Linked DNA regions of Coturnix japonica. The protein of the gene in region 1 purifies or fractionates together with the protein of each later gene. This does not show direct contact. Links are inferred from orthologs where the notes say so. Each region holds a gene or a part of one and is shown in the gene's direction. Other genes may lie near its edges.

The links. Proteins that work in one complex are often made in the same cells at the same time.
Region 2: the proteins of SUMO1 (region 1) and MITF purify together in Homo sapiens (affinity purification with western blotting; 3 studies listed by BioGRID and IntAct, with this or other methods). This does not show direct contact. The link is inferred for Coturnix japonica from reciprocal best matches to the Homo sapiens genes SUMO1 and MITF.

What each region holds. Positions count from the first base shown.
Region 1 is NC_029522.1:10,246,674-10,251,305, reverse strand, and holds the start of SUMO1 (small ubiquitin-related modifier 1), read left to right. Parts: upstream 1-1,666; 5' UTR 1,667-1,787; coding exon 1,788-1,799; intron 1,800-4,632. UniProt on the Homo sapiens protein: Ubiquitin-like protein that can be covalently attached to proteins as a monomer or a lysine-linked polymer.
Region 2 is NC_029527.1:12,975,433-12,979,507, forward strand, and holds part of MITF (microphthalmia-associated transcription factor), read left to right. Parts: intron 1-2,747; coding exon 2,748-2,865; intron 2,866-4,075. UniProt on the Homo sapiens protein: Transcription factor that acts as a master regulator of melanocyte survival and differentiation as well as melanosome biogenesis.

The sequences.
Region 1 (4,632 bases):
GTGCGCGGACCCACGGCGCCCACCCCGCCCATGAACTAGAGTGGGCGCAGCGGAAGTGACCTCACCGGAAGGGGAAATGCTGGGCAGCCAGTTCCGCGCGCTCCCGCAGGCCACGTGGCGCAGTGAGCGCGGCCGGGGCTGCCGGCTGTGACACTGTGTGCCCTGGGCACGGCCGGTAACGGGGCGGTTCCCTAAAGGTTCCACCGCGCTGTGCCTCGTAGCTGTGCTCTACGAGCTCCTGTTTGCGTATAGCGGCCTTATGGGCTGTGACCGTGTGCTGAGCGCAGCCCCCATTTTGTTGGGCTCGCTCCGTGCGCTGCCCGCCGGCTGGGGGCGGTGCTGGGCCGCGGTTGGTGGCCACGAGGCAGCGCCGTGTGTCCGGCCTGCAGCGTGTGGGGCTGCGGGGGAAGCAGCGCTGCGATAACGGGGTTATTCGCGTTATGGCCGTGGGAGTTGGTTGTTTTCGGTGTTATAATGAGCATTTAATAGCGTCACTGAACAAGCAGTGCTCAGTGCAGAAGGTCAGGCAGGTTCACACACCTACTTTCAAAGCCCTGTTTCAGTGCTGACAGCCCAGGCTGGAGCTTAGAGTGTTATGTTCATCCTTTTTGCTCCCGAGCAGCTGTGCCAGCACTAGGAGCCAACTGGCTGTTCAGGAGCCTGTGTTAGGAGCCAAGTGGCTGTATCTGATGTTCAAGAGCCTGTGTTTGGTTGGTGAAAGAGGTGTTATGCAGAGGAGATGGGCCACAGATTGTGAGGGAATGCTGCGGCCCTTCCCTGCTCAGCTGCATCCATGGCCTCGAGTAGAGCCGCACCTCAGCCTGAGCTAATGGAAGGGACTCCAAGTGACTGAGATTAGTTGCAGGGAGAAAATCAGAGCAGGAGCAATACTTCCCATAATAGCCTCGCTTAATTCCCAGGTGGTTGCAGCAGCGATGGCTTTGAGTGTTCTGATAAGAGCCTTACGTGTGTGTGCTCCGTTTTTCTTTAAAGCAGCATTAATGTGGTTTAACTGCAAATATATGGGATATAGGGTTTATGCAGTTAAAGGAGAGAAGCCTGGGCTTGGTCTTTGCGTTCCTTTCTCGCGGGTCGGTCGGATCAGCTCCGCAGCGCTAACGCTCCTCGTGCCCCGGGGCTGTGACTTCCTTAACGAGGCGGAGCGGCGAGTCGGCGTGTTGTGCGACCGTGCACATGTCAGAGCCGCGCCTTTGTTCTCTATGGGGGAAGGCAGCTGAGTTCTGGCTCGAGCGAGCGTGCGCTTTAACTGCAAACTGCGTAGGAAACGTTGTTAAGAATCACACACAGGCTTTATGCTAGAGCCACACCGGCACATGGCTACAGCTGTGTCTGTCTGTGAGTACCAACAGCGAATGGGGTGAGGTCTGTCCCGTTGTTGGTACCGTGCGTTGTTTTGAAGCCGACTGGTTGGGGGTTGGGATCGTTACCGCACTGCCGCGCTGCCCCCAGCGGCCATGCCGCCCTGCCCTGCCCGCTGCCCGTCGCACTGCGCTGCCGGCCCCGCTGGCGGGCTGAGCTCCGTTCCTCGGGCCCTACGCGTGGTGCCAGCAGCGGGGCACGTCGGGCCCCTCGTGCCGACGGGCAGAGCCGGGGCGGGCAGAGCTGAGCCGAGCCCCGCTCGGGCGGGGAGGAGCCGGCGGCGGGAAGTGAGCTCAGGCGCACAGGAAATCCCGCCCGCGCCGCGGCCTGTGTTTGCGCTGCGGGCAGAGAAAGGAGCCGAGCCCCGCAGCGGCCCAGCCGAGCAGCCGCCCGCCCCGTGCCCAGCCATGTCGGACCAGGTACGCGGACGGCCCCGGCCGCGGGGGGAGCGGCGCCACGAAGCCCCGCGGTCCCGCCGCCGGCCGGGAACCGCTCCCTCCGCGCCCCCCCGACCCCCCCGGCATCATCCCCTGCAGACGGCGGGGCCGAGCGGGGCGGGGGTGTCCCGTCGGGGAGCGCGATGGGGGAGGGGGGAACGGCTCCGGCCTCGGTCGGACTCCGCGTCCTGCCCCGCTCCGTCCCCGCTGAGGGTGAATCCCCCCATCCCGCCCCGCTCGGGGCGCTCTCCTCGCGTTAGGGGGAAGGGGCGGCTCGGGATGGGGGCGGCGCGCGGCAGCTGCTGGTTTCCTTTCGCTGCCCGTTGTTGCGGTGGGATGCTGCTCCCCGCAGCGGGCTGGGCCGAGCTTGCCGAGGGCTCCCTTAGGAACGAGGACGGGGGGGCGGCGGGGGTGAACTCTGACTTGCCCGGTTCGGCGTTGTTTGCACGTATGAAACATCCGGTCCTTCACCCAGACCCTGTTTTGCCTCCGCTGGTACGCGGTGATGTTGTCAATTCTGACCCGTCAGCCGGAGACTTCAATAGTTCCTTGTACGGCAAGTTCTTGGCTCGCTCGGCAGGCACACACACACACACACACACACACACACACAGCCCTTTGCTCGCATCCGTCGCGTTGGGCTGTGTGACCTGCTGCCTGGGAGCTACGACAGCGCTCCAGTTCCAATCTGTGCTCTGTTTGACTGCGTCGTTTATAGTACTTTCATATGTCAGTGTTTTCTAACTTTGTCAGGATCGTTTGAATTCTGAGAAATCGACGTTAGCATCTACAAATGTTTCTTGCAGTGCTGTGAAGTCGAGAATAGTAACAGTGCCAGCCAGGGAATTACAGATATCCAAAACTCGATACGCTTTATCTGCTGTGCAGAATAACCTCTATGGGTTGTGAATAGAAATTATTGCTGTACGTGCTGGTGGTCATCCGCTGCTTTTCAGCCCTGTGCAGCTGTGTTGGTGAGGATGCTCCTGCCTCTCTCTGTGAGCGCAGCTGTTGCTGGCACTGATTAGGGCATGTCTCCAGCGCAGGGAGCTGCAGGGAAGTGGCTGCATAGAAGGAAAGCACAAATTCTGAACTAGATTTTGTAGGCTGTTATTCACGTGACCCATTCTGTAGTGCTCTGTGTTTATGAATTAAGGCATGTTTTAACACATAGCAGCTTTCATTAAGTAATTCTTTCTCCAGCCCAGTCCTGCTAAAGCACATACGTGTTTGGAACTGCTTGAAATATGTAAAATTTACTGTATGGGGTTACCTTTTTGGTCTTAGAATAACAGCCCACACTGATTTATTGGAAATAGCTAAGCAAAATGTTGTCATGTATCTGTCTCTGTATTGGGGAGACTGCAGTAAGAGCTTAACAGCTGCCTAATGCCACAATGTGCAGTGAGGCAGAGCTGTAGATAAACCTTGTTTATCAAAGTAATCAGTTGAAATAATATCGACTAGAATAATTTGCCTCTGTATGGGGACTGTTGAATCACAGCCTGAACCACTGTGAGCACCTGGGGAAAGGACCCAGTCAGCCCTGAGTACACAGGTGAAGGCAGTTCAGCTGTGTGACCAGGAAGGGAGAAGCCTGGCTGCAGCTCTGCTAGACCCCATGAAGGGCTGACTGCCACTGGGGAAGGATCTCTTGCTGGACATCCCTCCTTGGTGGAGCTTTCCTCTGCAAACCTGGAATCTTCTGATATGCTGAGTAATCTTCCTTTCCTTTATATCACCTTTCTGTTGTGCTGGTCCTTCCATCATCACACTGTTGTTGTAATGCCTTTCCCATCATATTGATCTGTCCCGTTGCTGCAGCCTCAAATTGGGTGTTGCTTGCAATGTGTTCCGTGTGGCCCTAGAATTAAGTTATTAAGAGGATAGATGCCATTTGACAGTAGTTAGAATTTTGGCCCACCCTTCTAGTATAAATCAAGAAGCATGTTTGGTTTAGCAACTTTATTTCCAATGGCAGATGTACTTTTTTATCATGAAAGTTACTGTAAGAAGGGCAACCTGCAAAAAGGGGCTGCTTGGTGGGTCCGAATAGGAGAGAAGAATGGTTCCCTTCTCTGAAGAATCTTGTGTTGTTTTTGCTGTAGTTGCACACAGGTGTTTGTCTCTTCCCGGACCACGAGTGGAATGCTGCAGCACAGTTTTATACATTCTCTCAGTCCTGCAGCAAATGTCAGAGTTCATTGGCTGGATAATGAAGTGCATTGCAGTTGTATGCATTCTGTAATTCTGGTTTTAAAAAAGCTGGAAGTGACTGGGTATGTTTAGACAGTGAAGCTGAGCACTAGAGAAAACTGGAGGAGGAAGTTTGTAGTACACAAGCTTACAATGCTTGTTTTGTGGTTCTGTTAGCTACAGCAGCAAATACCTGGCACACTCAGTGCAAGAAGCTTTGGGTGCTTTAAGGTCATGAATTCAGTGTTGACATAAATGTGAGACAGTACTGGGGGCCTCAGTTCGTGCTCTTTAGGTGAAAAGGGTTTGACTATGTTTTTGACTATGTTAAATATGTTATGACCTAGTTTTAGCCAAATAGGTTCGACTGGAAAAAAGTCTTTAAAACTTCAGAGATCTAATGGAAAGTTAGAACTGAGCATTGGGGTATTCTTTTGTTTGTGTGTAGTTAGCACTGACAAAATGAAGAGAGGTGTTTTAGGCTTGGAAGGTCTTGTATTGATATCAAACCTTTTGCGTTGTTTTATTAAAGTATTATTCTTGTCAACAAAGGTTTGACCCTGTTTCTCTTTTCCTAAAGTTCTGTCTCAGCACTGACTTTTGTGGGTAATAAATTGCT
Region 2 (4,075 bases), on another chromosome or scaffold:
TGGAAATGGAGCCATGTTTCTGAAAATAGGTTTGGGAAAAAAATAAACCTGATGCAACACATGCTTTTCTTTTGTAATAGGCTCTTAAAACACAGTGTTTTACTAATGAGGAATAAATGTCTGTAGACTGAGCTAAGCAGAGGTAGAAAAAAAGTCAAGAGAGGAAATGGTCTAAAGAGATGCAACCTATAAATAGCTGTGCTGAGACTGCAACAAAGGCTGCTATTGTTCTGTAACCAACAAAGAATGAAAGGACTGGTTTGTTACATTTGGTAACAGTACTTAATTGATAAGCAAAATCAGGGGTTTACATGTAGAACAAGCTGAGGGACATTTCCAAGTACCTCTTAATTGAAAAGGGCTCATTGCAATAAATGCCTATGGATGTATTTGTAAACTTTAGTACTGGGTCACAGGTTAACCAGCTTTGCTTCTGTGGTGTACGGTGTCACAGAATGGTCACTGGTTTTGCTGAGGGGTTTTTCTACTTAGCAATTCAATTACTAACTCACATCTAGGTATTGTGTAAAATACTTGCGTATGTCGAGTTGAAATGGCAGCTCGTTCATCCAGCCGATAACTTCTGGCAGAAAACTTTGCAAGTGCATGCTGCTCCACTTCTAAAGGAGACTTCCCTGTGGAAGCTAAACCTCACAAGTAGCAAACAGTTGTGTTTCAAGAACTGTCACTGAACACGTGCTTATAGATAAATAAGGGAGCAACACACTGCATCCTGGCTAACAGAATCCTTCCAGTGAGTAACCTGCAGAACCTTACATAATAATCTCACACAGTGTTAACAACTATGGTGCTTGTATGGTGTGAAATCACAAACCTCTTGTAGGAAGCAGGGGTCCATCTTGCATCAAGTCAAGCAGCATGGTGACCTTGATTGTTCTCCGTGTTTCATTATAACCTGACCTCTTTACCCATGGTTTCAGATGCTAATTTCCATTTTTTTTCAGAGGAATTTTTTGCCTTCTGCAAGATAAGTTGTAAGTTATAAGTTCTGGGCTTATAAACAAGTCCTTTGTGCTCTCACCGTACTTAAGAGCATGAATAGAAAAAATACATCCAAGTCAGAAGGCTGTATGATGCCGTTGCTGCTCCTCTATCATGGCTGTATTGAGGGAACATAAGATATCAGGGTGAGCCTTGTAGAGCAGCAAGCAAGATGACAGTTGCAGTGGCATCAATGCAGGTGTGCCACAACTAGGAAGGACCATTATGAAGGACAGCTGGGCATTAGATTTATTTGATGTGCTTTTAATACACAATTCTGTATTGAATTCAGAAGCTAAGGGGGAGCTCGTAGATTTGTGGCTCAAGATCTTGGTGAGAATTCAGGTACGTTTTTCCTCTGTTACCTTAAGAGTCAGTCAGAGGACATAATTTTTGCTGTTGGCCACTGTCTGCTCAGGATTTGGCTCAGCAAATCTCAGCATACCTTCTAAGTGATGGTACCTTAATGAATTCATATCAGCTTTGTTTCTTATGGTAGCTCTAGATGGCAGATAAATTTTCTTACGTCTCGGTCTGTCAAGGACAGTCAGTAGGAGTTTAATAGTCTATGCTGTGACTCACTCCATTGTATTCCGCAGCGTTATTTACACGGGTGTAAAGTTAATAGTCTAATCTGTGCAGAATCAGTGTCTCAGAGGGACTGGTTTTCTTTGCAGCAAAGATAGGTGTTGCCACTCAGATAAGATATGAAGATGTTTTACACCTGTCTTTTCAAAAGCTAGTTTGAAAACAAAGAGTAGACGGGTAAAATGATCAGCTCAGGAGAAATATAAATTTCTTTAGGTTTATTTGAATGGAAAGGGGTAGTTCTGATCAGTGTTATTGGAACGATTTCTTAGTATTTCTTCATAAATATCTTTGTTCAAACATTCCCAAATATGAATTACAAAAGCAACGAGTAAGTGAAGAAACAAAGTCAGAATCATCTTCTTCCAACTGGTGCTTATTTTTGTTGAGCAAGGTGAAAAGCAAATTGACTTGAAACCTACAAAATGTTTTCAGTGCAAGGAGCTTCCAAGTCTCATGAAGAATGTAATTGATGAGTAGTGGTTTCTGTCAAGCAGGTAATGTGCATCGACTTGATGGTACTGGAAAAAAGGAGGCATCCTCTGAGAGCTTTCTGTAGGCTCTTTCAGACTTTTTTTGCATAAGAGAAGTGATGAGGGTGGAGTACACTGAAAGATAAGAGGGAAAAATACCACATTACTGTCAGCCAGTGTTACCTCTTCTTTCTTAAGACTTTTTGTAACTTCAGTTGAGCTGTGCTTCCTTTAAAGAAAAGGAAAAAGAAAGAAAGAAAAGAAAAAGAAAGAAAGAAAGAAAGAAAGAAAGAAAGAAAGAAAGAAAGAAAGAAAGAAAGAAAGAAAGAAAGAAAGAAAGAAAGAAAGAAANAAGAAAGAAAGAAAGAAAGAAAGAAAGAAAGAAAGAAAGAAAGAAAGAAAGAAAGAAAGAAAGAAAGAAAGAAAGAAAGAAAGGAAGAAAGAAAAGGAAAAAAAAGAGTAATATCTGCACATTCTTCAAAAGAGAGAACATAACTTTCCCAGTGTAGGTGGTTTATTCCTCATGCCCGTGCATTATGCAAAACTGTTGCTGGCCTTATTACAAACTCTGTTTGTGTGTGGAAAAGTGCACAGATTTCTTAGCAGAGGTTAACTCATTTCTTCTGTGGGAAGCTTTTTATGAGAGCAAACTAAATAATCATTTTCCTTGTTTATCTTTTCCAGTTGCCAGTGTCTGGGAATTTGATTGACCTTTATGGCAACCAAAGCATGCCTCCTCCAGGACTTAACATCAGCAACTCCTGTCCAGCTAATCTTCCTAATATAAAAAGGGAGCTCACAGGTAAATACATCTCAAATATCACCTTAGAGGTATGGTGTAATTGTTTTGAATTCAAGTGATCTTGGACATAATTTCTGTTACAATAAAGAAAATATGGACAAAAAGCTCTGTTTTCCTTTGCAGCCAGTTCTTTAGCAGCAGATGTATTACTTGGTGATACAGCTTGTGTTAGGTGTGGGTTCACTGTGACAAATTAAGACGATGCCCTTAATTATTGCAGTCAGATCTGCTCATTTGAAATGTGTCTTAGGAAACTTGCATGTAACTCTTGCAGTGCTGTCTTCTAGTTTGAACTTATTTCTGTGATCAGTGTTAAACTTTAACAAGTTGACACCTGGAGTCTCTCTGGGATTCATGCTGAGGAATGCTTCATGGTGAGGGTTTCTTCTAGTAGGGGACAGCAACGTACAAATAACTTGTAATGTGGAATTTGGGTGTCAGCATCCTACGCCATGTGAAATGTGACGCTAGAAAGTATTTTGAATTGAGGTGAAAATGAAATGTCCTCTGAAGTTCTTGTCACATCATTTCTTCAAGTAGCAAAGTTGATCTCATCTGAATAAGCTGCAGGAGTTAAGGGGAGGAAATGGGAACATTACTAACTTAGTTTAAAGGATTAGAAGGGAAGCTCTGAGTTCTCAAGCCTAATTTATTTTTGCTGTTTTGTTTTGCCTGTAGATAAAAGGATGTAACCACATGCAGGATATGATATACAAAGCAAACTTGTCTGCAAAAGATAAATGGAGATATGTTGTAGAACCAGTGACAAAGTCACTGTAATATCCACAAGTGTTTGTTCTTAAGCCCAGCTGAGAGTCGTGCTATATGCTGACCTGGTAGAGGCATAGTTTTCTTGTCTATCTTTCAGTTGTGAAAACTCACAGGCTGACTCAGTTGCAGAGCAGGTTCTGGTCAGGAATTAGTTTAAGTAGAGCAATTCTAATAGCTCAGGAGTCAGCTTCTCAGGAGGAAATGCCACATTTCTGAGCTGGTGGATATTTGTGTTTATATAACAGCACAGAATTTGAGTTCAGTGCCAAAGGAAGATACAGTAACTGCACAGTGACTTGTGGAAGTTAGAAAAACTTGGTCACCATATTAGACTATGTTAAGAGGATGGTGGGAGGGAATGACATCTGCTCAAGGTCCTAAGTTACGCGCGACTTAATTGCTCCAGTTATATAAAGCTACAGGTGGCTGTAGACTGAGC